Macaca mulatta: one gene and its partners. The protein of the gene in region 1 interacts with the protein of each later gene in a biochemical or structural test. Links are inferred from orthologs where the notes say so. Each region holds a gene or a part of one and is shown in the gene's direction. Other genes may lie near its edges. The genes, in order: AURKB, KLHL9, CDCA8, KLHL13, RACGAP1 and CENPA.

Region 1 (4,169 bases):
TTTTTGTATATTTAGTAGAGACGGTGTTTCACCATTTTGGCCAGGCTGGTCTTGAACTCCTGACTTTGTGATCCACCCGCCTCAGCCTCCCAAAGTGCTGGGATTACAGGTGTGAGCCACCGCCCCCGGGGAAGAGGGTCATAGCTTTCATAAGGGTCATAAAGGATTTAGGCCTCCCCTTCTGCAGAGATTAAGTTCTTCAGACCAGGGAAGAAAGAGGTGACTGGATTATTTTGCAGAGAAAGCTGGAGCCCAAGGGGAGGGAGACAGGAATTGGAAAAGGGTAGGGATGGGGGAGGAGATGCCAGATCAGCCCTGAGAACCTCTTTACCCGTCTCAAAGACTTAGGACACTAATGGGAAAGACTGGGCTAACTTCTGCCCTTCCCCACTGTCTGCCCAGGGACACCTGGGAAAGGACAAATAGGAGCTGAATCCTTCACTGAAGGCCCCGTCAACGTATCTATGGGTTGGGCGTTAGGAACGGCCTGGCCCCACAAATCACATAACTGGGGTGTAGAACAAAATGGTTCCAGAGATGCTACCAGGCTGGTCCAGGACCGATGCAGGCCAGAACCCCGCGGGGAGGACTCCCCAGAACAGGCACTGAGCTGAGGAAAGGCAGAACACGTGGTCTGCTACTGACTCCACCAGATCTTCTGGGACTCTGGGCAGCTCCGGAGTACTGCTAAGTCCCCAAACCGGGTCTACAGGTCTTAGACCACACTCGTGAGGCCACTTGCCTCAGAGCCTTCGGGGGGGTCTTAGGAGGCAGGCAGGAAGGTCTCCTTCTAGGCCATTCTAGGAGGGGACTGGAGAGCAGAGGTTAGACCGGAGGGTAGGGGTAACCTGATCTTACAGTCCAGAAGCCACGAGACTAGTCGCCTGGCCTTGCGCCCCGCCCCACTGCAGGGTGGAAAGCCTGTCCCACTCCAGTCACCCAGATCAATAACGCCCTCCACCGTGGGTCTCCTGGGCCCCAGAAATCGTTCCCTCTTTCCCTCGCCTGGGCACTGCCACGCGGTCTGGGGAACCCGTAGTCTATCGACGGGTCTGGCCCGGGGTTTGCCCTGCCCGTTAGCCCAGGAGGATAGACAGACACGGGGAACTGGTGTTCCCCTAGTGATTTCAAGGCTCATTAACTGTCTCCGACCCGTCCCGAAAGCAAGCAACTCCACCGCTTCTCTTCAAAGCTCTGCAACGAAGGACTAGGTCCAAGGACCGCAGGCGGAGGCGGGAATTGTCAAGATCCCAGGTTACGGAATGGCACCGAGTCGGTGACCAAAGGAAGCAGGAACCCGGGTGTTCAAGGCAGTCCTCCAGGGCGGCGCGGGGGCTAGGCTGAGGCCACTCCCTTCCACTTCCTCGACGCTATTTCCTGGGAGGAGTTGGAGCTGGCGGCCCAGAGCCAAGGGACTCCCAGACCCGTGCTCCAAAATACTAGGCTTGGGGGAGGCTGGTTCCTGAGCGGCGCCAGGACCGTTCTGCCATGCATAGTGGACCCGGCACTACAGCTAGCCTGGCACGACCTCTAGGGCGGTTCGCAACGGCATTCGTACGTCGGCTCGTTGGTCTAGGGGTATGATTCTCGCTTCGGGTGCGAGAGGTCCCGGGTTCAAATCCCGGACGAGCCCTCCTTTACGTTTTGCTGAAATAAGAGTGTCTTCAAGGAATGTGTTACCTGACCAGCGCTGCAGGAGGCTTCACTGGAAATCATCAATGTACAGTAAGCTCTTTTGTGGCACCGGGGTAACAGAAAGAATCTCAGTCCCCAGACCCGCCTGGCATGTCAGGAAGAGACGAGGCACGCCCAGACTTGGGCAGGACGCTCCCTTTCTGCTTCTTGACTTCCTGCGTGGTGTCTCAACTCCGCCACTACAGCCTGGTTTCGGTTTGATTGACACCCATCAATCTATAGTTGTGGATGACAGTGTTCGGGAGAGCCCAGGAACTGTCAGAACTTGGTTCTCTGCAGCCCTGGAGGTACTCTGTCTCTTTCGGTCACTCCGTCTGACGATGGGTGCCTGAAATACACCTACAGTTTCTGGTCGGCTTTTCTCGGTGGTCGGAAGAACAGAACCCTTAGGAACTCTGCTGTCAGCAAGCCGAGTGTAAAGTCCCAGATCAAGGATTTGGAGACGACCATTGACGGGTCACTCCTCGTTAGTATAGTGGTGAGTATCCCCGCCTGTCACGCGGAAGACCGGGGTTCCATTCCCCGAGGGGGAGAATCCAAATGATTTTGCTTTCATTAAATCCGTCCTGGCCCCTGGGATGGAGCTAGAAAAAAGAGGGAAAGGAGGAGGGGAGGAAAGTTTGGCCTACCTCTCCAGCTCGCATTCTAAGTTTCCATTTTAGTTCAAGCAACTTGGAGTTCAAACGTGTACCTAAAGTGGCCACTATCTCCTCCGCTCAATATGTTCATTAGTGCTCAAACTTGATCTAGCTTGCTCCCTCCTTGACGGCAGTGCGCATTTCCAGTCTCTGCTTGAACCTGGGCAAGCAGCCATTTGGCCCCCGGCTGTCCAGGGTGCAGAGCCCGGGCTTTTGTTTCCTTTCACCTCCCTGCGTTTTGTGGATTCGCACTGCGATCCGGGAACAGTAGGCAACCCCGGGCCGAAATTCCGACAGGCTGCTCTCACCTGGAGGGGCTTGCAGGGCGCATCCGCCAGGAGCGCGGTGGTCCGGCAGTGGTCGCAGGTGTAGCGGAAAGCGGGTTCTTTCGGAGAGGACGGTTCCTCAGGAAAACCTCACGAAAATCCTCAACGATGGTGGGGCCCAGAAAACACGAGAAAGAAAAGAGGGAAAAAAAAAAATTCAAAATGCACTTGCGTTGGCCGGGAATCGAACCCGGGTCAACTGCTTGGAAGGCAGCTATGCTCACCACTATACCACCAACGCTTAGGTACTGCTGTTTTCTTTCATACCTCATGTTGATTGCGGTGAGTCGCGTTGGACCCGTGCGGAGCCAGGGAAACAGCATCAGCGAGATCCAGGTAAAAGTAATGGCTGCTGTCGTCTGCCCGGCGCAATTGTGCGTGACCTTTACCGCTAGTGCGCGCCACCCCACATGAACCTGTAGGGTTATGCCCAGTCTACAGACGAGGAAACCAAGGTCCAAAGAAGTTGAGTCACCGGCAGAGCTGGGATTACATCTAAGATCTCTCCAGGGGGCGAGAACTGCAGCGGCATCATGATGATTTATCATCTCCAGAAAAAAAAAAAAAAAAGAGTCCTAGACGCATAAAAATCGCTTCTCTGTAGAGTGGGCTCAATGAGCTCAATGTGATTCAAGTTAAGGAACTGGGCCCTAAGTCAAATGCGCCTAAACACAATTTGCCTCTTTATTATTTATTCAGATTCCTACGTACGTGCGCCCACATCTCGTCAGCTGGTGCCTCGCAGAAATGCGCTGACAAATCTTAAAGATACGGCTTCATGACAAAAGTCCTCCCCTTATTGCTGTTCAAGAGACCCCTCAAGTCACCCTCTCGGGCAGGCCTCGTGGCGCAACGGTAGCGCGTCTGACTCCAGATCAGAAGGTTGCGTGTTCAAATCACGTCGGGGTCAAACCAAACATTGTTTTCCCTAATCAAATAGATTTACGGTGACATTTTTAGGGACAGGACAAAAAAAACCTCCTCAGTAGAAGGATAGGAGGGGAATGAGACAAATGTGAACGTTATTCAGAAGTTGGGTACAATTTCAGTTGGGTACAGACTTTCAGCACTATGTGATATATCCCTGAGGCAAAACTGCACATGTACCCCTAAAGTCTATAAAAGTAAAAATAAATTTAAAAATTAAAAAAATTACTGTTGTATGGAAATTTTTTAAGAATTTTTTTCAATTATTATTGTTTGTTTGTATCTTTTTTCCCTTGAGATGGAGTTTCTCTTTTGTTGCCTAGGCTGGAATGCAATGGCACTATTTCAGCTCACCGCAACCTCCAGCCATGGGTTCAAAAGGATTCTCCTGCCTCAGCGTCCCGAGTAGCTGGGATTACAGGCATGCACCACCACGCCCGGCTAATTTTGTATTTTTAGTAGAGAGGGGGTGTCTCCATATTGGTCAGGCTGGTCTCGAACTCCCAACCTCTGGTGATCCGCCCGCCTGGGCCTCCCAAAGTGCTGGGATTACAGGTGTGAGCCACCGTGCCCAGCCTTTTTA
Region 2 (3,971 bases), on another chromosome or scaffold:
AATATAAATAAGCTCTCCAGCCTGGGCGACACAGCGAGACTCCGTCTCAAAAAAAAAAAAAAAAAAAAAAAAAAAAAAAAATATATATATATATATATATATATAAATAAGCTCTCTATAGTAATTCAGGAAGATCTTGAAGTGAAAAAAGAAAAATGCAGAACAGTGTACATGGTATGCTATCTTTTACATAAAAATGAGGAGAGTGTAATAAAAACATGACTATTCTTACTTTGCACACACTTAAAGAACTAGAAGGACTTAAAAGACATAAACTTCAAAATTTGGAAAATGGAAGAAACTGTGTCAAAGTATACATTGATTTGTATGTCAAAATTTAAATTTACCACTAATTAAAGAAATGTAAATTAATAAAATACTTAAAAAGGGAAAAGTCAGCAGAAGGGAAAGGCACAAACATTGCTCATGATAATATTTTGGAAATACTGTCTTGGATCAGCATTTTACTAAATATTATCCATAACAGGGCTAAAATTTTGCTACCAGATTCTGTAAATTTACTACAGATTCTATAAAACAATGGAGGATAAGAAGGTACATATTCAGGAACAAACAATGGGCAAAGGAAACTATAGTATGTTATTGAAAAATTATGTAGCCATTTTTAAAATTATGGAAAACAAAGGCATTTCAAGCCAAAAATTTAGACTATACCATTTATATAATAAAGTAACAATCTAGTAGAGACAAATATTTTGCCTTTGAAATTATAACAAATTTGAAAATACGAACCAAAATTGTAACTAAGGTATCTATTACATAATGTGGGATAACAATTATTGTTTTGTAGAGGAAAAAAAAAATTAAGCATCCAGGTTTCCTCTCAATTTATACAAAAGCCGCGTTTCACTGTTATTCAAAAAAACAGAAACTAGGAATTGCAAAGTTTTAAAAAATGTATGCATTTGGGGAACGTAAGAGCTCAGATATGTGAAAAACTTACATCAAACATGCAGCATAATATACGTGCACACATTCTGTCCTATTTTGTCCCACATACAAGGCAGATCTAAGGAGCCGGGCTCGCGCCCACTCCAGACAGCTCGTCTTCCTCAACCCCCGCCCTCCCCGCCTCCCGCACACTTCCTCCCCCTTCCCCACCCCCACACGCCCGCCCACTGACGAGCTCTGGAGGCCGCGCAGCCGCAGTAGCCGCTACGGCCGCTCCCACCCCGCGGGATCCTGGGAGTAAGCTTTTCCGGAAGGAGCGGCTCGGCGTCGGGGCTAGGCCGGTATTCTAGGCCCAAGCCCAGTCCCAGGCCTGTGTTCCAGGTCCTTGCTCAAAGACAGGTCGGTGGCCGCTGCGACACTCTAGGTACAGCGGAGGGCGCAGCGGGCCGTTCGCTGAGGTTCCCGGACCCGCCGCCGAGCGGGCCGTGGAGCCACAGTACGTGGCGGCGCCTTTTCGTTGCCCGAAGCGGAACTGCAGAAGGAGCGGCAGCGCAGGCCGGACGAGGTGAACCGGGTCATTTAACCGCCTTCAGGTGATGAATCATCTGTCTAATAATCAGATTTGAGGTCCACAGCCCTTTGTGGTCCTGCTACAGGGCGATTTTCAGTGGATGACTGACTGGCGTGGCCTGAGGGGTGCCGCAGTGGCTGCCTTCCCTTGATAAGGAAACGAGCTTTCTGTTCTTTGTGGACACCTCGTTGCCTGTAAAACATTCCGGTTATAACTTCTTTCTCCGGCTTGCATCTCTGTGCAAGAGGAAAGCTTTCACATGAAAGTGTCCCTTGGTAACGGCGAAATGGGCGTCTCTGCCCATTTGCAGCCTTGTAAGGCAGGAACCACACGCTTTTTTACCAGCAATACACACAGTTCGGTGGTACTGCAAGGCTTTGATCAGCTTAGAATAGAAGGATTGCTTTGTGATGTGACTCTGGTACCAGGTGATGGAGATGAAATCTTCCCTGTTCACAGAGCTATGATGGCGTCTGCTAGTGATTATTTCAAAGCTATGTTCACAGGTGGAATGAAAGAACAAGATCTGATGTGCATTAAGCTTCATGGGGTGAACAAGGTTGGTCTGAAGAAAATCATTGATTTTATTTATACTGCAAAACTTTCTCTTAATATGGACAATCTTCAGGACACACTTGAAGCTGCTAGTTTTTTACAAATATTACCCGTTTTGGATTTCTGTAAAGTATTTCTTATATCAGGAGTCTCTTTAGATAACTGTGTTGAGGTTGGACGAATTGCTAACACCTACAATCTCATAGAAGTGGATAAATATGTTAATAATTTCATCCTGAAGAACTTTCCTGCTTTATTGAGTACTGGGGAGTTTCTAAAACTCCCTTTTGAACGGCTTGCCTTTGTGCTTTCCAGTAATAGTCTTAAGCACTGTACCGAACTCGAACTCTTTAAGGCAGCCTGTCGCTGGCTAAGGTTGGAAGACCCTCGGATGGATTATGCTGCAAAATTAATGAAGAATATTCGATTCCCACTGATGACACCACAGGATCTCATCAATTACGTGCAGACAGTAGATTTCATGAGAACAGACAATACCTGCGTGAATTTGCTTTTGGAAGCCAGCAATTACCAAATGATGCCATATATGCAGCCAGTGATGCAGTCAGATAGAACTGCCATTCGATCTGACTCCACTCACTTGGTTACATTAGGAGGAGTTTTGAGGCAGCAGCTGGTTGTCAGTAAAGAATTACGAATGTATGATGAAAGGGCACAAGAATGGAGATCTTTAGCCCCGATGGATGCTCCCCGTTACCAGCATGGTATTGCTGTCATTGGAAACTTTCTTTATGTAGTTGGTGGTCAAAGTAATTATGATACAAAAGGAAAAACTGCTGTTGATACAGTTTTCAGATTTGATCCTCGGTATAATAAATGGATGCAGGTTGCATCATTAAATGAAAAGCGTACATTCTTTCACTTGAGTGCCCTCAAAGGACATTTGTATGCAGTTGGTGGGCGCAGTGCAGCTGGTGAACTGGCCACAGTAGAATGTTACAACCCAAGAATGAATGAGTGGAGCTATGTTGCAAAAATGAGTGAACCCCACTATGGCCATGCTGGAACAGTATATGGAGGCTTAATGTATATTTCAGGAGGAATTACCCATGACACTTTCCAAAATGAGCTTATGTGTTTTGACCCAGATACAGATAAGTGGATGCAAAAGGCTCCAATGACTACAGTCAGAGGTCTGCATTGCATGTGTACGGTTGGAGATAAGCTCTATGTCATTGGCGGCAATCACTTCAGAGGAACAAGTGATTATGATGATGTTCTAAGCTGTGAATACTATTCACCAACCCTTGACCAGTGGACCCCAATTGCCGCCATGTTAAGAGGCCAAAGTGATGTTGGAGTTGCGGTCTTTGAAAATAAAATCTACGTTGTTGGTGGATATTCTTGGAATAATCGTTGTATGGTAGAAATTGTCCAGAAATATGACCCAGAAAAAGATGAGTGGCATAAAGTTTTTGATCTTCCAGAGTCACTTGGTGGCATTCGAGCTTGTACACTCACAGTTTTTCCACCTGAAGAAAACCCTGGGTCACCTTCTAGAGAATCACCTCTTTCAGCACCTTCAGATCATTCTTAGGTCTAAGGTGTAACACCTTTGCAGTACATCATGGGTGATCTAATACTTCTTCAGTTGTATCTTCTTACAGTGATTGGTACAGTTATTAGATATAAAGGTAACTGATGTTATTCGTCTTGTTTGGCTTTTAGTATGTTTATCAAGTGACTAACAAATGCATTCTGAAGATGTATTTAACATAGCTAGCTGTTTTAACAAATGAGAAAAAAAGATGTAGAAAAATGTTTAGATGTCTTTTTGTGATGTTATATAAAATTGTAGATGACTGTGGTAAATGTGTAATTATGTCCATTATGCTTCAAAGTCGAGTTTTCATCTTTGACTCCAAAATGTCAGAGGGAGGTCACTGTAACCTAAAATTAACGAAAGGTTGCC
Region 3 (4,242 bases), on another chromosome or scaffold:
GGTTGTCGTCCCCTCTCATCTTGGCCATCTAACTGATGGAGATCCTTAGGCACCCAGCAGACTCGGGTGTCACCCCCACCACCCACTGCCCAGGGCTGACCTTGGGCGGAAGAGCGACATTCAAATATTTTTTGTATATGGAGCAACAAACCAGGGTGGAAGAGAGAGAGAAAGGACTTTCTAGGAAGGGCCAGGCTTGCCAGGGTTTCTATGCTTGGACTGCTCTGTCCCCAAGCTCGCTGGTGCCCATCAGGAGCCTGCTTGGCACCTTTGCTTATTTCTTTGATTGTTCCTGAACTCAGAGGGGGAGAGGCAAGATTATCACTCCCATAGCCTATAACATGCACGCTTAAACACAAACAACCCCTCTGACATGGCTTCATTCCGCATCCACAGGTGAAAAGCACCAAATCCAAACAATCAGGCCACAAACCTGTCAAGAGCTCGCCGGTCTGGCCGTCCAGTCGTCGCCCGCCTTGAGACTCAGCCTGAGCTACAGCTTCGAAACTAGCCTCTAGCCTTGCTGGGTCTCAGCACAACCCTTGAGCAATCCAACCCTGTGGCTGTGGGCAGATGCAAAGATGCACAGTTAGCACTTCCGACAGGACTGCGGCTCAGCGGGGTTCGAGGTCTACACGCCCATTCCCAGGCCCACGGCCAGAACACCCAGAGCTGCCTCCCGCCCTGGGCTCCCTGGAGTGTGGTGGCCGCGGCTCACGCTGCAGTCACCGCGTGGGCAGCTGCCAAGCGCCACTACTCGCACCTGAAGTCGCGGCCCCGCGCTGCACACCCAGTCGAGGCGCCAAGACGCGAACTGGACGGGAGTGGCCGCCCCGCGGGCAAGCGAGGAACAAGAGGGTTCTCCCCACTCGCTGCCCAAACTGGCCACGGGCTGGCGCGCCCACCCCAAAGCCTGCACCCCGGCCCCGCTCCCCTGTCATTCCGCCTCGACCCCTTCCAAACCCTGTCGGGGCTGCTCTGTCTCCGCCGACCCTCCACTTGCCCCAAGTTCGGCCTGGGGAGCTTGGGGCCCTGAGGAGCGCCGACGTAGGCAGCCAACCAGTCAATCAGTCAGAGTGTCACGGCGGCCCCTCGGCTACTCAGTGGCAGCCAGGCCTGGAAGAAGCAGCCGCCGGCCCCGGAGCAGAATCCTACAGCCGACCTGACCTAGCCCGCTCCTAGCCCTCCAGAGATTGGGGTAATGAGGACCCGCCGCAAGGCCTGCCGGGAGTCGCAGTTTGTATAGTTTGCAGCCGGCCAGGGCGGAGCCGGGTGGGTTGGTGGGGAGGGCGGGGAAACAAGCCTGGACCACAACTCCCAGGAGCACCCGCGACGGCGGCGCCCGCGCTGACGCACTCCGGCTATAGGGAGCGCATTGGGCGGGAGACCCCGGGCAGGTAGGAACTTGCTTGTGATTGGATACTGTGGGACGGCGGTTTCTCATTCGTCAGCCTGTGGCTGTGGAGTTTGAATTAGGTGGCGGTTGACGGTAGAGCCGCTCTCTCTCACTGGCATAGCGAGGTTTTACTCAGTCCTTGTCGCGAGACCGGAGGTACGTGCCTGGCGACTTATTCGGGTGGTCCCCATCCGCCCTCCTGGTCCCTACCTGGTTCCTTGCCTCCCTGCCCCATCTCCGCCGCTCCCCGCAGCCTCCGCCGAGCGCCATGGCTCCTAGGAAGGGCAGTAGTCGGGTGGCCAAGATCAACTCCTTACGGAGGCGGAAGCTCGCCTCCTTTCTGAAAGACTTCGACCGTGAAGGTAAAGGGGCCAGGCCGTCGCGGCCTCCTGGGGCGGTCGCGGGATGCTGGCGGGTGGGGACACGAGCTGCACACATTCACCCGCCCCGTGACCCGTGTCCTGTCGGCTCTGCCCTCCCGCAGTGGAAATACGAATCAAGCAAATTGAGTCAGACAGGCAGAACCTCCTCAAGGAGGTGGATAACCTCTACAACATCGAGATCCTGCGGCTCCCCAAGGCGCTGCGCCAGATGAACTGGCTTGACTACTTCGGTAAGAGCTGGAGAGCTTCCCTGGGCGGAGGCCGGGAGCCCCGTGGGGTTAGGTAACACCCTTCAGAAAGGACTCGCTCAGATGTCACCTTTTAATGAAATCTGACATGACCACTTATGGAAAATTGCAGACCCTTTCACTCTCTGTCTCACTTCCGTAAGTCATGTGTCTCCATCCTTTTCTCTAAAGGCCTAGGTAGCAAATATTTTAGGCTACTTGAGCCGGTGGGAGGGGTCTCTGTCGGACAACTTAGCTCTGCTGTTACAGGTCCAAAACAGCTATAGTGAATGGGCATGGATGGGCTGTATTCCAATAAAATTTTAGTTGTGGATACACTGAAATGTGAATTTCACATAATTTTCACACATCAGGAATTTTATTTTATTTTTTTGGAACAGAGTCTCACTCTGTCACCCAGGCTGGAGTGCAGTGCAGTGGTGCGATCTTGGCTCACTGCAACCTCCACCTTCTGTATTCAAGTGATTCTCCTGCCTCAGCCTCCGGAGTAGCTGGGATTACGGTCTCCTGCCACTATGCCCTGCTGATTTTTGTATTTTCAGTAGAGACGAGGCTTCACCATGTTGGCCAGGCTGGTCTCGCACTACTGACCTCAAGTGATCTGCATGCCTCAGCCTCCCAAAGTGCTGGGATTACAGGAGTCAGCCACTGTGCCCAGCCAGAAAATAGTATTTTTAAAAAATATGTATATTTTACCCAACCCATTTAAAAATGAATGAATAAATGACATGGTTAGTTAACCAGAGCTCAGATGAAAGAATAACCCAAAGCAGCTCCTTATGCAGCTTATGGAAATTGCTAACTTAAAAATGGGCACATCAGGCTGGGCGCAGTGGTTCATGCCTGTAATCCCAGCACTTTGGGAGGCTGAGGCGGGCAGATCACCTGAGGTCAGGAGTTCGAGACCAGCCTGATCAACATGGAGAAACCCTGTCTCGGCCGGGCGTGGTGGCTCAAGCCTGTAATCCCAGCACTTTGGGAGGCCGAGACGGGCGGATCAGGAGGTCAGGAGATCGAGACCATCCTGGCTAACACGGTGAAACCCCGTCTCTACTAAAAAAAATACAAAAAACTAGCCGGGCGTGGTGGCGGGTGCCTGTAGTCCCAGCTACTCCGGAGGCTGAGGCAGGAGAATGGCGTAAACCCAGGAGGCGGAGCTTGCAGTGAGCTGAGATCCGGCCACTGCACTCCATCCTGGGCGACAGAGAGAGACTCCATCTCACAAAAAAAAAAAAAGAAAGAAAGAAACCCTGTCTCTACTAAAAATAAAAAAAGTTAGCCGGGTGTGGTGGCGCATGCTTCTAATCCCAGCTATTCAGGAGGCTGAGGCAGGAGAATCGCTTGAACCTGGGAGGTGGAGGTTGCGGTGAGCCAAGAGCCCGCCATTGCACTCCAGCCTGGGCAACAAGAATGAAACTCCATCTCAAAAAAAAAAAGGCACATCAGTTTTCCTGGCCAGAGAAAAATCCCAGCCTGCTTCCCCACTCCCTTATTAAATGTCCAGAGAAATGCAGGAGGCTGTACTTTTCTGCTGGGTTGCAAAAGTTTTCCTTATTATTAATTATCCAGCATGTAGTCTCCTTGCTGGATAGAAATGCATGTTCTGTTCACATATTAGACGTTGAATGATCCTTTTGACTTGTCCTTTTATTTATTAATATTAAGCCATTCATTTGCTCATTTCTACAAATACTGAGCATGTGTGAGTCACAGTGCTAGGTGCTAAAGATGCACTGGGGAATAAAACAGACATTGTCTCTGCCTTCAGAAACATACAGGTTAGTAGAAAAGAGCTATTAGAAAAATCCACATACAATTATGTAATTAAAAGTATAGGTACTACAAAGGAGATAGAATAGAGTAGTTGTCAGTGAGCATATTGTGATTTCTATGCCGGATGGGCATTGTACCAAGTGTTTTACATATATTAACTAATTTTTCTTCATAACTAATAATATCCCTATTTTTCTAAATGACAAGATTAAGGCACAGAGAAATTGGATACTTTGCTCAAGGCCTCATAAGCTAGTTAGTGGAATAGTCTGTTTGAACCCAGGTATTCTGGTTTCATAGCCTGAGATCTTAACTGTTTTACAAGATACTGTGAGGGTTTCTAGCAGGAGGATCTAACCTAACTTTTTATTCTACATGTAAATCTCACAAAGACCTTTTCATTCAACACACATTTACTGTACTTCTATTGACTGCTAAATTT
Region 4 (3,940 bases), on another chromosome or scaffold:
AAAACAGCCAAAGAAAAAAATCACAACAGTGATTAAACTGGTTGCTAAGAGCAAACTCCCTTTATTTTCCCAAGGAGGAGTCTGGAATTATAAGTAGAAAGGCAAGGAAGGGCAAAGGAAGAGGTGTAAGAAGGTGGCCCCAGGCTGTAACCGTCAAGAAGGCAAAGAATGAATAGAAGACAAGCAAGGGGAAAAACAGGCTTGACGGGGGTTTTTGTTGGGGGCTAGGCTGATAGAACAGAATCAAGATTCTGACTTAGAAGAGCAGTCCCACCAGAGTTGGGAAGCAGGTCGCATAGTTAAGAGCCTGGGTGCCAGAATCACACCGCTTGGGATCCTGAGTCCCGCTCTGTCACTATTTACGTAACCTCTGGCAACTTGCTTAACCTATACACCTCAGTTTTGTCACTTGTAAAATGGAGACAATAGTGTGTAACTTACAGAGTAGCTGTGAATTAGGTAAGTTGAAGCTTCAGTGCTTGGTTCATAGCAGACGCTCAGTAAAATGTTAAACGGTTATTTGTAGTTTTTATCCTTCCTCTTTCTTAATGTTGTGTACTGCAGCAGGGAGGGGGAGGGATGAAGCGCTTATCCCACCAGAAGAGTGGTATTTGTGTGAGAGCCTGGGTCAGGCTTATTTTGAGACGTGGGCCCCACTGAGGTGAGGTGGCACCGCTTCCAGAGCACACCCTTTGCCGGGGCCCTGCCGTGACTATGAGGAGGCCGAGGCCACGGCTGGCAGAATGCACGGGTGGACCTCCTTGGAGTGGCTCACCCAGGGCGGCTGCACTGTTGTCCTTGGATACTTGACACTTTTCACTTTCTCTGCCTCCCGGCACTAGAAGCCATGTGGGCTCACACTCGACCCTCCCGGGTTCGGAGGCGTGAGGGCCACTTAGCGGTCATTCAGCTTCAGGGTCCAGCCCTGTCAAGCTTTGGCTACAGCCCGGGAGTTCCGTTGGGACCCCACACACTGTCCTAGCCACAGCTCCCCGCCACCCTGCCTCCCGCGCAGGCGCCGCCGGGGCCACCCCCGCCGCCATGTTTCCCCCGCCCGCGCGCTCCCTCCCCCCACTGCCCCCTCCCTCCCCAACTGGGTTCCCGCCCCCCCTCCCTCAGCAGTCCCCCCCACACCCTGGTGAGGTCAGGCGGAGGCTCTGCCGCTGCGGCCGCAGTAGCTCAGCTCCTATTCCCGGGAAGCCTGGAACGGGGAGTTTTGAAAATAACTGGAGCGGCATTCGGGTTAGGGTCCGTGCTCTCCGCTTGCGCCAGGACAGGGTGAAGTGGCCGGGACTAGCAGAGGGTGCGAAGGTGCGGGTGCTGGTGCCTCGCAGCAGGAGGGAGCCCCGGCTGCGCCGCGAGACTCCCTCTTTGGCCCTCGGAGCGCAGCACCCGGCGGACAAGCGGCGCGACGCCAGGACGCGGCGAGCAAGGTGAGGCAGGGTCCCGAAGTCACAGGGGCTCCATCAGCCGCTTCCCTGCCTCCGGACCTGGCGCTGCGCGGTGCGCGGCGAGGAGTTGCGATCTGTACCAGGGGCAGAGGAGTAGAGGAGCAGGGAACCAGCTTCGTTTTGCCCGCCGCCCCCTCTTTTTCTCCCGCGTGCTGGTGCGCGCCCTCATCCTTACACCTTCGCATCCCGTTCTCCCGGTCCTTCTGGCTCCGTCGGACGCCTGGGTTTTTCTAGGACCCCAGAAGCCGGCTTTCCTGTGCTTCTTTGTCATCTCTCCAAGATTTTCTTCTCTGGGCCTCGCTGTTGCTGCCCTGACGGTCTGGGGTCCCTCTGCCCGCCCCGGCCCCACTGTCTCTTGCCCTCTAACAGTTTCTGCTTTGTGCCTCCTAATCCATCTCTTCCTTCAGAAGCTTCTTACTTAGGAGGCTCCTCTCCTGGCTCCCAAGTCAGGAGCACACTCCTCTTCTTCCTCGAAGCTTTTAACTTCGCTCTGAATGTCTTCAGCTCTGAATATTTTGACTTTTTTTTTGTTTGCTTGTTTAATCACAGTTGACTAATGATTTTCGTGGAGGCTTATAGTCTAGGCTACAGTTTACTGAAAGTGATGAGATCATCCCTTCACTAAATAGCCTTAGTAAATATCAACTAGGGAACTTTAAAGTTTCTTTCTAGGTTTCATTAACTTAGCCCAAGAACAATAGTCACTTAAAATGTATGTATATATGTTTGTACGCAATTTTCGTACATGGTCCTAAATCTGATTATTCCCTGGCTGCTGAACAGGCCTGAGAGAGAGGATTGGTGGGGCTTGTGATGCCTGGCTCCATTTCTCTAATTGTAAACTGGGATGTTCATAGTTTTAATGTAGTCAGAGGACTTTAGTGGTTTGGGATAAAGTCGTTCAAGTTAGCATAGGCTGGCAACTAAGCACATTGAATGGAGACTAAGAAACGCTGGAATTTAAAACTGTCTCTGGAGAGCACCTGCTTTTTAAAAAATTTATTATTTTTTTGAAGCCACAGTTTCTTAACAGTAGATTTCATATTTGTATAAACCGTCTAAAAGCAGCGTATTTTAAAACCACGTAGTTACAAAAAAGACTACTCACTCTTAGGGATATCACTTTCTCCCCATGTAGTTGTGGTGTTAGCTCCCATACTGAGGTTCATTTGCTCACTTCCATACTGCAATTAGTGTGTGAAGAAAACTGAATGGAGAAGCACACAGTGGAGGCAAATACCAGTGAACAAGCACATGCTGACATATGCAGCTGTGTTTTTGGAAATAGGCTGTATCTAGTGTTCAAATTTAAAAACTGAGAAAAATGAAATAATTCAGCATTTATGACATCATTTTACATCTAAAAATATTAGCTCCCTTAACTGCAAGTTCTTATTAATAGCCTCATACTTAACGGTAAAAGAGTTGTTTGCCTGATGTGTGACCTAGTGTTGCCATTGACACAGTGTGCACTAATTGGCAGCAATCTCAGAAGAAACCAGGTTGTGAATGAAGATAATGGCTAAATTTCACTGTCCCGGTGGCACTTCTTATGGCAGTGAGATGAGAGTAGTTTCTGCTGCAGCATCAAATGATGTATTTAAAAAACAGATAAATAAGAGCTTCAATTATTAAAAAGCCCAAGGTTTTTAATTTGCCATTTTTATAAACACACTTCAAAAAGTGTCGTGTGATTATATAAGGCTTAGTTGATGTTCTGAAGAAAGTAGTTTTCACAAGAAAAGTAAAGCCTATTGCTTATCCATTTAGTTAGATAACTTGCAGATGATTTGTAGTTTCCCAATTGATTTGGTAAATTCCTGGGTTTACTTGAGGTTTATTAAAAAATGGAATGTAGTAGGGAAAGGGTACTTATTCTAATAGGCCCACCTTTCTAAATCTGTAATTTTCTTAGCAAACCATTCTCAAAAGACATAAAAACTTACAACTTTTTCAAGGAAAAGAGTTTATACTATTTTCTTACTTTTTTCTTTTCATGATTGTTATTGATACAAAATCTAAGCTAAGATTGCTAGTAATGTGATTGCATAGTAAGACTGTATTTGCCAGGAAAAGAATAAAGGTGGATGTGAATTAGCCATAAACATTTTGCTCTGAATCTTCAATATGACTCAATATGTGTTTGATAGTCCATCTGGTACACCTAGAGATTATCAGACTAGATATTTCTGTTATTACTAAATGTAACTGCACTTATTTATTGGATTATCTTCTTTCTCATTTTATTTACATTTCACATTCTCTTCATGTAATTTGACTTGCGGTAGTGAAATGAGACTGACCAATTTTCAAATTGTTTGATTTTTATTGATGTTTGGTAAGCCACTAAAACCTCTTGAAAATATTTTTTTCTTAAATCCACTGATTGAAACCGATGTATTTTTATTGCTATGAAATAATACAACAAATTTCCAGGAATTATTTCAGAAAATGTGGAAAGACTGTAGAGAAATGAATAGCCCTAGAGA
Region 5 (3,500 bases), on another chromosome or scaffold:
AATTCATATCACTCTGTTTCTTCTGCTCTGTTTTATCCCAGGTTATTAAACCTGAATCCTGTGTTCCATGTGGAAAGCGGATAAAATTTGGCAAATTATCTCTGAAGTGCCGAGACTGTCGTGTGGTCTCTCATCCAGAATGTCGGGACCGCTGTCCCCTTCCCTGCATTCCTACCCTGATAGGAACACCTGTCAAGATTGGAGAGGTATGACTTATACGAGCCGTCATTGTTTTACGGCCTCTTTATTCGCCTTTCAAAGGCTTAGTATCAGTTTTTGTTCTAAAATTAATGATCTCAAATATATTTCTTTCCACAAACAATGAATAGAATTGTAAGATATTTACTTGAAGAGTCCTATTTGGGTTTGTCTGTCTAATACCTTTCTAAACCAAACTTCTTTGCCCTCCCCTTTTTCCTCTTCCCTGCTTCTCCTTTCCTCCTCTTCTCCCTTCCTTCCTCCCCTTCATCCCATTTTGGAAAATTTCAGACATATATCAAACTAAAGAGATTAGTGTAACTAACCCCTGGTTCTTATCACTTAACTTCCATGACTACTAACTTGTGTCCATTCTCTTTTTTTTTTTTTTTTTTCCTCTGCTGCCTAGGCTGGAGTGCACTGGCACGATCTCAGCTCACTGCAACCTCTGCCCCCTTGGGCTCAAGTGATTCTCTTGCCTCAGCCTCCCAAGTAGCTGGAATTACAGACATGTACCACCACCATGCCCGGCTAATTTTTTTTTTGGTTGTATTTTTAGTAGAGACGGGGTTTCACCATGTTGGCCAGGCTGGTCTCAAGCTCCTGACTTCAAGTGATCCGCCCACCTCAGCCTCCCAAAGTGCTGGGACTACAGGCATGAGCCACCGTGCCCGGCCATGTCCATTCTTTTTTTAATGTCTCTTTTTTTTGAGACAGAGTTTCCATGTTGCCCAGGCTGGAGTGTGGTATTGCAACTTTGACTCACTGCAGCCTCTGTCTCCTGGGCTCAAGTGATTCTCATGCCTCAGCCTCCCAAGTTGCTGGGACTGCAGGCGTGTGCTACCATGCTCAACTAATTTTTTCGTATTTTTAGTAGAGATGGGGTTTTGCCATGTTGGCCAGGCTGGTCTTGAACTCCTGACTTCAAGTGATCTGCCTGCCTTGGCCTCTTAAAGTGTTGGGATTCTAGGTGTGAGCCACGGCACCCAGCCTTTATGTCTGTTCTTGATTTATCAATACTGTCGTTGCCTCTTCCTAACTCTGTCCAATGAATTACTTGGAAGCAAATCTCAGCTATCATATAATTTTATCTGTGATAAAATTATCTTTTTATTCTTGCTTTTATGTTAGACATACTTCATAATAGGGTATCAAGATTAAGTTGCTTATTTCCAAATATTTAACCAGTTTAATCCAAACTGATTAAATCCATTAAGAAATTATTTATTGCCGGGCGCGGTGGCTCAAGCCTGTAATCCCAGCACTTTGGGAGGCTGAGACGGGCGGATCACGAGGTCAGGAGATCGAGACCATCCTGGCTAACATGGTGAAACCCCGTCTCTACTAAAAAATACAAAAAACTAGCCGGGCGAGGTGGCGGGCGCCTGTAGTCCCAGCTACTCGGGAGGCTGAGGCAGGAGAATGGCGTGAACCCGGGAGGCGGAGCTTGCAGTGAGCTGAGATCCGGCCATTGCACTCCAGCCCGGGCAACAGAGCGAGACTCCGTCTCAAAAAAAAAAAAAAAAAAAAAAAATTATTGCTGAGCATGGTAGCTCATGCCTGTAATCTCAGCACTTTGGGAGGCTGAGGCAGGAAAATCACTTGAGCCTAAGAGTTTGAGACCAGCCTGGACAACAAAGCAAGATTCCATCTCTACAAAGAATAAATAAATAAGTTAGCCAGATTAGTGGTGTATGCCTGTGTTTATAGCTCCTCAGGGAGATAGGTTGGACTATTGCTTAAGGTGGGGAGGTTGAAACTGCAGTGAGCCATGATTACACCACTGCACTCCAGCCTAGGGAATAGAGCAAGACCCTATCTCGAAAAAAAAAAAATTTTATTATGTAAGCAACATTAGCAAGAATCAAAATGACTACCTTCCTACCTACTCTTCAGCAAATCAAATGTTATTTTCCCCTAATCCTACAAGTTCTTATCCATGCCTGTACTTTTTTTGGTTTTTTTTTTTTTTTTTTTTTTTTTTTTTTTTTTTTTGAGAGGATGTTTTGCTCTTGTTGCCCAGGCTGGAGTGCAATGGCGCAATCTCAGCTCACCGCAACCTCCACCTCCTGGGTTCAAGCGATTCTCCTGCCTCAGTCTCCCTGGGATTACAGGCATGTGCCACCACGCCTGGCTGATTTTGTATTTTTAGTAGAGACAGGGTTTCTCCATGTTGGTCAGGCTGGTCTCAAACTCCTGACCTCAGGTGATCTGCCCACCTCGGCCTCCTACAGTGCTGGGATTACAGGTGTGAGCTACCGCATCTGGCCACCTGTACATTTTTTTTTACACATGTTCTGTACTTTAATATAGAACCATGGAGTTCTCCCCTACAGGTAGGTTTGTGTCATGATCAACTGTGATAAGATGTGTTAAGTAATTTTTTTTACTGAGGATAATGAAAGCATAAAAAATTATTTTTCTCTTATTCCAGAGTTCTTCTGTTAGAAAAAAAAAATCCGTTTAGAGTAATAAATTATTTTATATTAAAGGCTATACCTGTAACTTCTTTTTTTTTTTTTTTTTTTTTTTTGAGACGGAGTCTTGCTCTGTAGCCCGGGCTGGAGTGCAGTGGCCAGATCTCAGCTCACTGCAAGCTCCGCCTCCCGGGTTTAGGCCATTCTCCTGCCTCAGCCTCCGGAGTAGCTGGGACTACAGGCGCCCGCCACCTCGCCCGGCTAGTTTTTTGTATTTTTAGTAGAGACGGGGTTTCACGGTGTTAGCCAGGATGGTCTCGATCTCCTGACCTCGTGATCCGCCCGTCTCGGCCTCCCAAAGTGCTGGGATTACAGGCTTGAGCCACCGCGCCTGGCTATACCTGTAACTTCATTATTGCTTTTTTCTGCTGTCCTTGAGTGGATGAGAAGGAGGTAGTTATAGCTGGTGGTCTTATTCCTTGTTCACATAAGAGTGTGGTATATATGAAAGAGAAAAAAAAAAGTGTGGTATATATGATAATAAATCAGTCCTGGCATGGAGGTAGGAAAAATAATTGATAGTCTCTGTTTTAATATATGCTTTGGGAATAGGAATTTAAAAGTAGACATGATGTCCCAGTCTGAGAATAAGATTGGAGGTGGTTCTTCACATGTCGTCTTCATCTGTTGGTCTACATGGTGTAAATAATAATTTAAAACTCTTTTTTTCCAGGGAATGCTGGCAGACTTTGTGTCCCAGACTTCTCCAATGATCCCCTCCATTGTTGTGCATTGTGTAAATGAGATTGAGCAAAGAGGTCTGACTGAGGTAAGAGTCAACCGTAGGAGATGGTGAATTTGTTATTTGTGTTAATTAGGAGGTTT
Region 6 (3,970 bases), on another chromosome or scaffold:
CCACCACACTCGGCAAGATGGGGTTTCGCCATGTTGGCCAGGTTGGATTCAAACTCAAGGGATCTGAACAGCTCGGCCTCCCAAAGTGCTGGGATTACAGGTGTGAACCACCGCACCCCGGCCCAGCATTTGTCCCTTGGTGGACTGCCTTATTTCACTTAGCATAACGTCCTCAAGGTTCATCTATGTTGCAGCAGGTGTCAGAATTCCCATTGTGGTATACGCCCCATTTTGTTTATCCATACATCTGTTGATGGGCATTCAGGCTGTTTCTGCCTTCGGGCTGTTGTGAAGAATGCCGCTATCAACACGGGTGTGAGAATATCTGTTCAAGTCCCTGGCTATATTTAAATTCTTTTGGATATTTAGCCAGAAGTGGAATTACTGGATCATCTGGTAATTCTATTTTTGATTTTTTGAGGAACCACCAATACTATTTTTCACAGCAGCCGCAGCATTTTACACTCCCACCAGCAATGCACAAGGGTTCCATGAAATCACTAATTTTATAACTAACTTTTTTCCTGATTACATGTTCACTGTACTACATTTAGAAAATGCAAGAAATAAAATTTAGAAAATTAAAATTCTCCTTACTCTACATACTGGGACAGGACTTGAATTTTTATTATCCCCAACAAAGGGAAGTGAGCGTTTTTCTGGGACGATTGCGTTGCTATAGTGCCGAGGCCTGCCCTGCCGGAACCCAAGCTCCGCTGATCCCGCCGTCCCCGCGACCCCAAGGATCAGCAGTTGAAGTTCACGCAGTTGAACTGGCTTCTGAGTGTATTTGTGGATAATTCCTGGAAGGGTCGCAGACACGACATGGGGTTGTCACATTCTCTGTGGGTCTGTTTCCTCGTCTTTAAAAGTCGTCTCTGCGTTGCTAGGGCAAAGCATAAAATGTTTAAGGAAAGTGACTTGTCTAGAAAAGCACGTGCTACAAACACACCATCTACGTTCCGAACTGAGCTTCGGTGTTTTGACTGGAGGGCACCTGAGGACGTCAGTACGGTCCCGCAAACACCAGCACCCAGATTGGCAAGCAGGGGCAGGAGAATTTCCCGCCCCCTCTTACTTCTTTAGGTGTCTATTGGTTGATTTTACCATCAGTCGCCCCTATCCTCCTACCATCGCCGCTATTTGTTCATACTCTCATTGGTCCTACCTGCAGTCGCTCTACGTAAGGGGCGTTCCAGAGTCAGCCACTGGAAGTCGCTGGATTCGGGTTTTAAAAAACGCCGGCGGTGAAGTGGGCGGAGCGAGCGATTTGAACGCGAGCGGCGCGGACTGCGGCCAAGCACCGGCTCCTGTGAGGCTCGCGGCCCAGCGTTCTCTGGGCTCCCCAGAAGCCAGCCTTTCGCCCCCGGACCCGGCCGCCCGAGCAGGAGCCGTGGGGCCGGGCGCCGGCACCCTCCGCGGCGTGACATGGGCCCGCGCCGCCGGAGCCGCAAGCCCGAGGCCCCGAGAAGGCGCAGCCCGAGCCCGACCCCCGGCCCCTCCCGGCGGGGCCCCTCCTTAGGTAACTGGCCGCGGCCCATCTCGTAGAGGAGAAAACCGAGGCTCGCAGGCGGAGCCCGGATCTCCCGAATCCCGATCCCGTGGCCTTCCCTGCTGGGGGACAACGCGGTTCCGCCGTCTGGCATCCGCTCCGGGCACGGGCGGTGGCAGCCCTGCGAGGGACTGGAGCAAGCGGTTCCGAAAGCGTGAAGGGACCGGCGCAGCCACTTGGCCCCTAACGCCGTCTTCTTGTTAGGACTAGCGGTTACCCAGCGCCCACCGCCAACCAGGCATTGCGTCCCACTGTTCGTGCGTTATCTCAGCTTCATATCGTGCCCATTTTACAGCTAATGAGAAAGCCAAGGCACAAGCCAGGGAGCTTGAGCAGAGTCACACAACTTGTTCTGGCGGACACGGGATTTCCAATCCTCTGTGTTTGTGCATTTTTAGATTGCACAAGTATTGACTGCTTTCGGTGACGATTTCAAACAGGAGTCCTCTTAGGAGGTGTCTTTCAGGTTTTTTTTCCCCTTCCGGGACAGGCTCTTAGGCCTCGAACCGAGGCCTTCTGCGCTGCTCACGCTGTTGCGTTCCAGAGCTTGTGTCCGGGGAAAGAGGGGCCAAAGTCTGTGTCTTCATTGTCTGTGTGGTAGGCTGGTGGATGGGAGACCCAAGGGCAGGAGGAGGCAGATGCCTGTGTGGTACACGGTGGCAACAGCTGCTTTACTTATCTCTTAACTCTTGCTGCATAGCTAGGAAGAAGATGGGAAGTGTATTGTAGAGTTTGTCTGTTTCATTGTTTTTTATAGAGACTCGGTCTCCCTATGTTACCCAGGCTCGTCTCAAACTCCTGGTGATCCTCAAGTGATCCTCCTGCCTGGGCCTCCCAAAGTGCTGGGATTACAGGCATGAGCCACTGTGCCTATAGGCTTTTTGTTTTTTTGTGTTTTTTTGAGACCTATCGCCCAGGCTGGAGTGCAGTGATGCCATCAGGGCTCACTGCAGCCTCAACTTCCCAGGCTCAGGTGATTCTCCCACCTCAGCCTCCCGAGTAGCTGAAACTACAGGCATATGCCACCATGCCGGCTAATTTTTTGTATTTTTAGTAGAGATGGGGTTTTGCCATGTTGCCTAGGCTGGAGTAGGTTGTTTCTAGATGTTGCTGTTGCGGATGGGATTTTTTTTCTTTCCCAAAACACAAGCATTTAACCTTTGCATCCAGCCAACTTGCTGACTTCTCGTTCATCCTAGTCTCTTTTAGTTGCTTCAATTGAAATTTTTAAGTAGACTATTATGTCATCTGCACATAACTTTAGAATCTTTCATTTTCGTCTCTAAACATTTTATTTCTTATTGTATGGTATTAGTAAGGCCCTGAGACTCACTAAGAGTGGTGTTTTGGCCATCTTTGTCTTATTTGTAATTTTAACGGGAATATGAAGTATGATGTTTGCTGTTGCTTTCCAAGGTAGAAGCATCCTTCTACTCCTGATCAAATGGAAGGTTTATCTCAAATGGGCAGTCAACACTTCTTGGCAGTCCTACCACCTTTGTCTGGTATTCTTTCTTCAGTTTTAGAGACGGAGTCTCACTCTGTCGTCCAGGCTGTAGTGCAGTGGTGCTATCTTGGCTCATTGCGGCCTTGACCTCCTGGGCTCATGCAATCCTCTTGCTTCAGCCTCCCGAATAGCTAGGATGACATGTGCACCACCATGCTTGACTATTTTTAAAGCTTTTTTGTAGAGACAAATTGTTTTGTCTCTACAAAGAAAAGCCATCGTGCCTGCCCTTTGTCTGGAATTCTTGCTTTTCCATTCTCCCCATGACTATTTCATACCTTTTTCTCCTTCCTCGACTTCCTACAGCTCCATTCCCCCTACTCTTAGCCAATGATGGCCTTGACTAGGTGTCCCCCTTCCTATCAAAGCTCTTCCTCCTTCTACATGGGGTCTTGGTCATATCCTTCTTTCACCTACAAAGGAGCTTTCTACCTGTGCTTAGATAAATCCAGACACTTAACACTGGCATTGGCACATGTGCTCTAGTATTTATGATCTTTTTTTTTTTTTTTTTTTTTGAGGCAGAGTTTCCCTCTTGTTGCCCAGTCTAGAGAGCAACGGTGATCTCGGCTTACCGCAACCTCCACATCTTGGGTTCAAGTGATTCTCCTGCCTCAGCCTTCCGAGTAGCTGGAATTACAGGCATGCGCCACCACATCTGGCTAATTTTGTATTTTTAGTAGAGATGGGGTTTCACCATGTTGGTCAGGCTGGTCTCCAACTGCCAACCTCAAGTGATCCGCCTGCCTTGGCCTCCCAGAGTGCTGGGATTACAGGTGTGAGCCACCGCTCCCAACCATATTTATGATCTTAAGAGAAAGGGCAGGGGTGTTTCCTTGACCCCACATTCTCACTTCCCTATACCTCCCATTTCTCTCTATTTCCCTTCATAGCTCTCCTTTTAAAACAGC

What was found.
Region 2: the proteins of AURKB (region 1) and KLHL9 form a complex in vitro, tested with the Homo sapiens proteins (2 studies listed by BioGRID and IntAct, with this or other methods). The link is inferred for Macaca mulatta from reciprocal best matches to the Homo sapiens genes AURKB and KLHL9.
Region 3: the proteins of AURKB (region 1) and CDCA8 form a complex in vitro, tested with the Homo sapiens proteins (3 studies listed by BioGRID, with this or other methods). The link is inferred for Macaca mulatta from reciprocal best matches to the Homo sapiens genes AURKB and CDCA8.
Region 4: of the proteins of AURKB (region 1) and KLHL13, one has a biochemical effect on the other in vitro, tested with the Homo sapiens proteins (2 studies listed by BioGRID and IntAct, with this or other methods). The link is inferred for Macaca mulatta from reciprocal best matches to the Homo sapiens genes AURKB and KLHL13.
Region 5: of the proteins of AURKB (region 1) and RACGAP1, one has a biochemical effect on the other in vitro, tested with the Homo sapiens proteins (2 studies listed by BioGRID and IntAct). The link is inferred for Macaca mulatta from reciprocal best matches to the Homo sapiens genes AURKB and RACGAP1.
Region 6: of the proteins of AURKB (region 1) and CENPA, one has a biochemical effect on the other in vitro, tested with the Homo sapiens proteins (3 studies listed by BioGRID). The link is inferred for Macaca mulatta from reciprocal best matches to the Homo sapiens genes AURKB and CENPA.

What each region holds. Positions count from the first base shown.
Region 1 is NC_133421.1:9,727,390-9,731,558, reverse strand, and holds the start of AURKB (aurora kinase B), read left to right. Parts: upstream 1-1,369; 5' UTR 1,370-2,173; intron 2,174-2,828; exon of another isoform or gene 2,829-2,900; intron 2,901-3,358; exon of another isoform or gene 3,359-3,569; intron 3,570-4,169. UniProt on the Homo sapiens protein: Serine/threonine-protein kinase component of the chromosomal passenger complex (CPC), a complex that acts as a key regulator of mitosis.
Region 2 is NC_133420.1:77,885,332-77,889,302, forward strand, and holds the start of KLHL9 (kelch-like protein 9), read left to right. Parts: upstream 1-1,171; 5' UTR 1,172-1,742; coding exon 1,743-3,596; 3' UTR 3,597-3,971.
Region 3 is NC_133406.1:203,099,398-203,103,639, reverse strand, and holds the start of CDCA8 (borealin), read left to right. Parts: upstream 1-1,442; 5' UTR 1,443-1,552; exon of another isoform or gene 1,553-1,649; 5' UTR 1,650-1,664; coding exon 1,665-1,758; intron 1,759-1,880; coding exon 1,881-2,009; intron 2,010-4,242.
Region 4 is NC_133426.1:124,576,252-124,580,191, reverse strand, and holds the start of KLHL13 (kelch-like protein 13), read left to right. Parts: upstream 1-1,140; 5' UTR 1,141-1,243; coding exon of another isoform or gene 1,244-1,636; exon of another isoform or gene 1,637-3,940. Other genes in the region: uncharacterized protein LOC144338795, read right to left, coding at 1,244-1,636. UniProt on the Homo sapiens protein: Substrate-specific adapter of a BCR (BTB-CUL3-RBX1) E3 ubiquitin-protein ligase complex required for mitotic progression and cytokinesis.
Region 5 is NC_133416.1:57,169,041-57,172,540, reverse strand, and holds part of RACGAP1 (rac GTPase-activating protein 1), read left to right. Parts: intron 1-41; coding exon 42-206; intron 207-3,348; coding exon 3,349-3,444; intron 3,445-3,500.
Region 6 is NC_133418.1:98,214,939-98,218,908, reverse strand, and holds the start of CENPA (histone H3-like centromeric protein A), read left to right. Parts: upstream 1-1,170; 5' UTR 1,171-1,428; coding exon 1,429-1,522; intron 1,523-3,970. UniProt on the Homo sapiens protein: Histone H3-like nucleosomal protein that is specifically found in centromeric nucleosomes. Replaces conventional H3 in the nucleosome core of centromeric chromatin that serves as an assembly site for the inner kinetochore.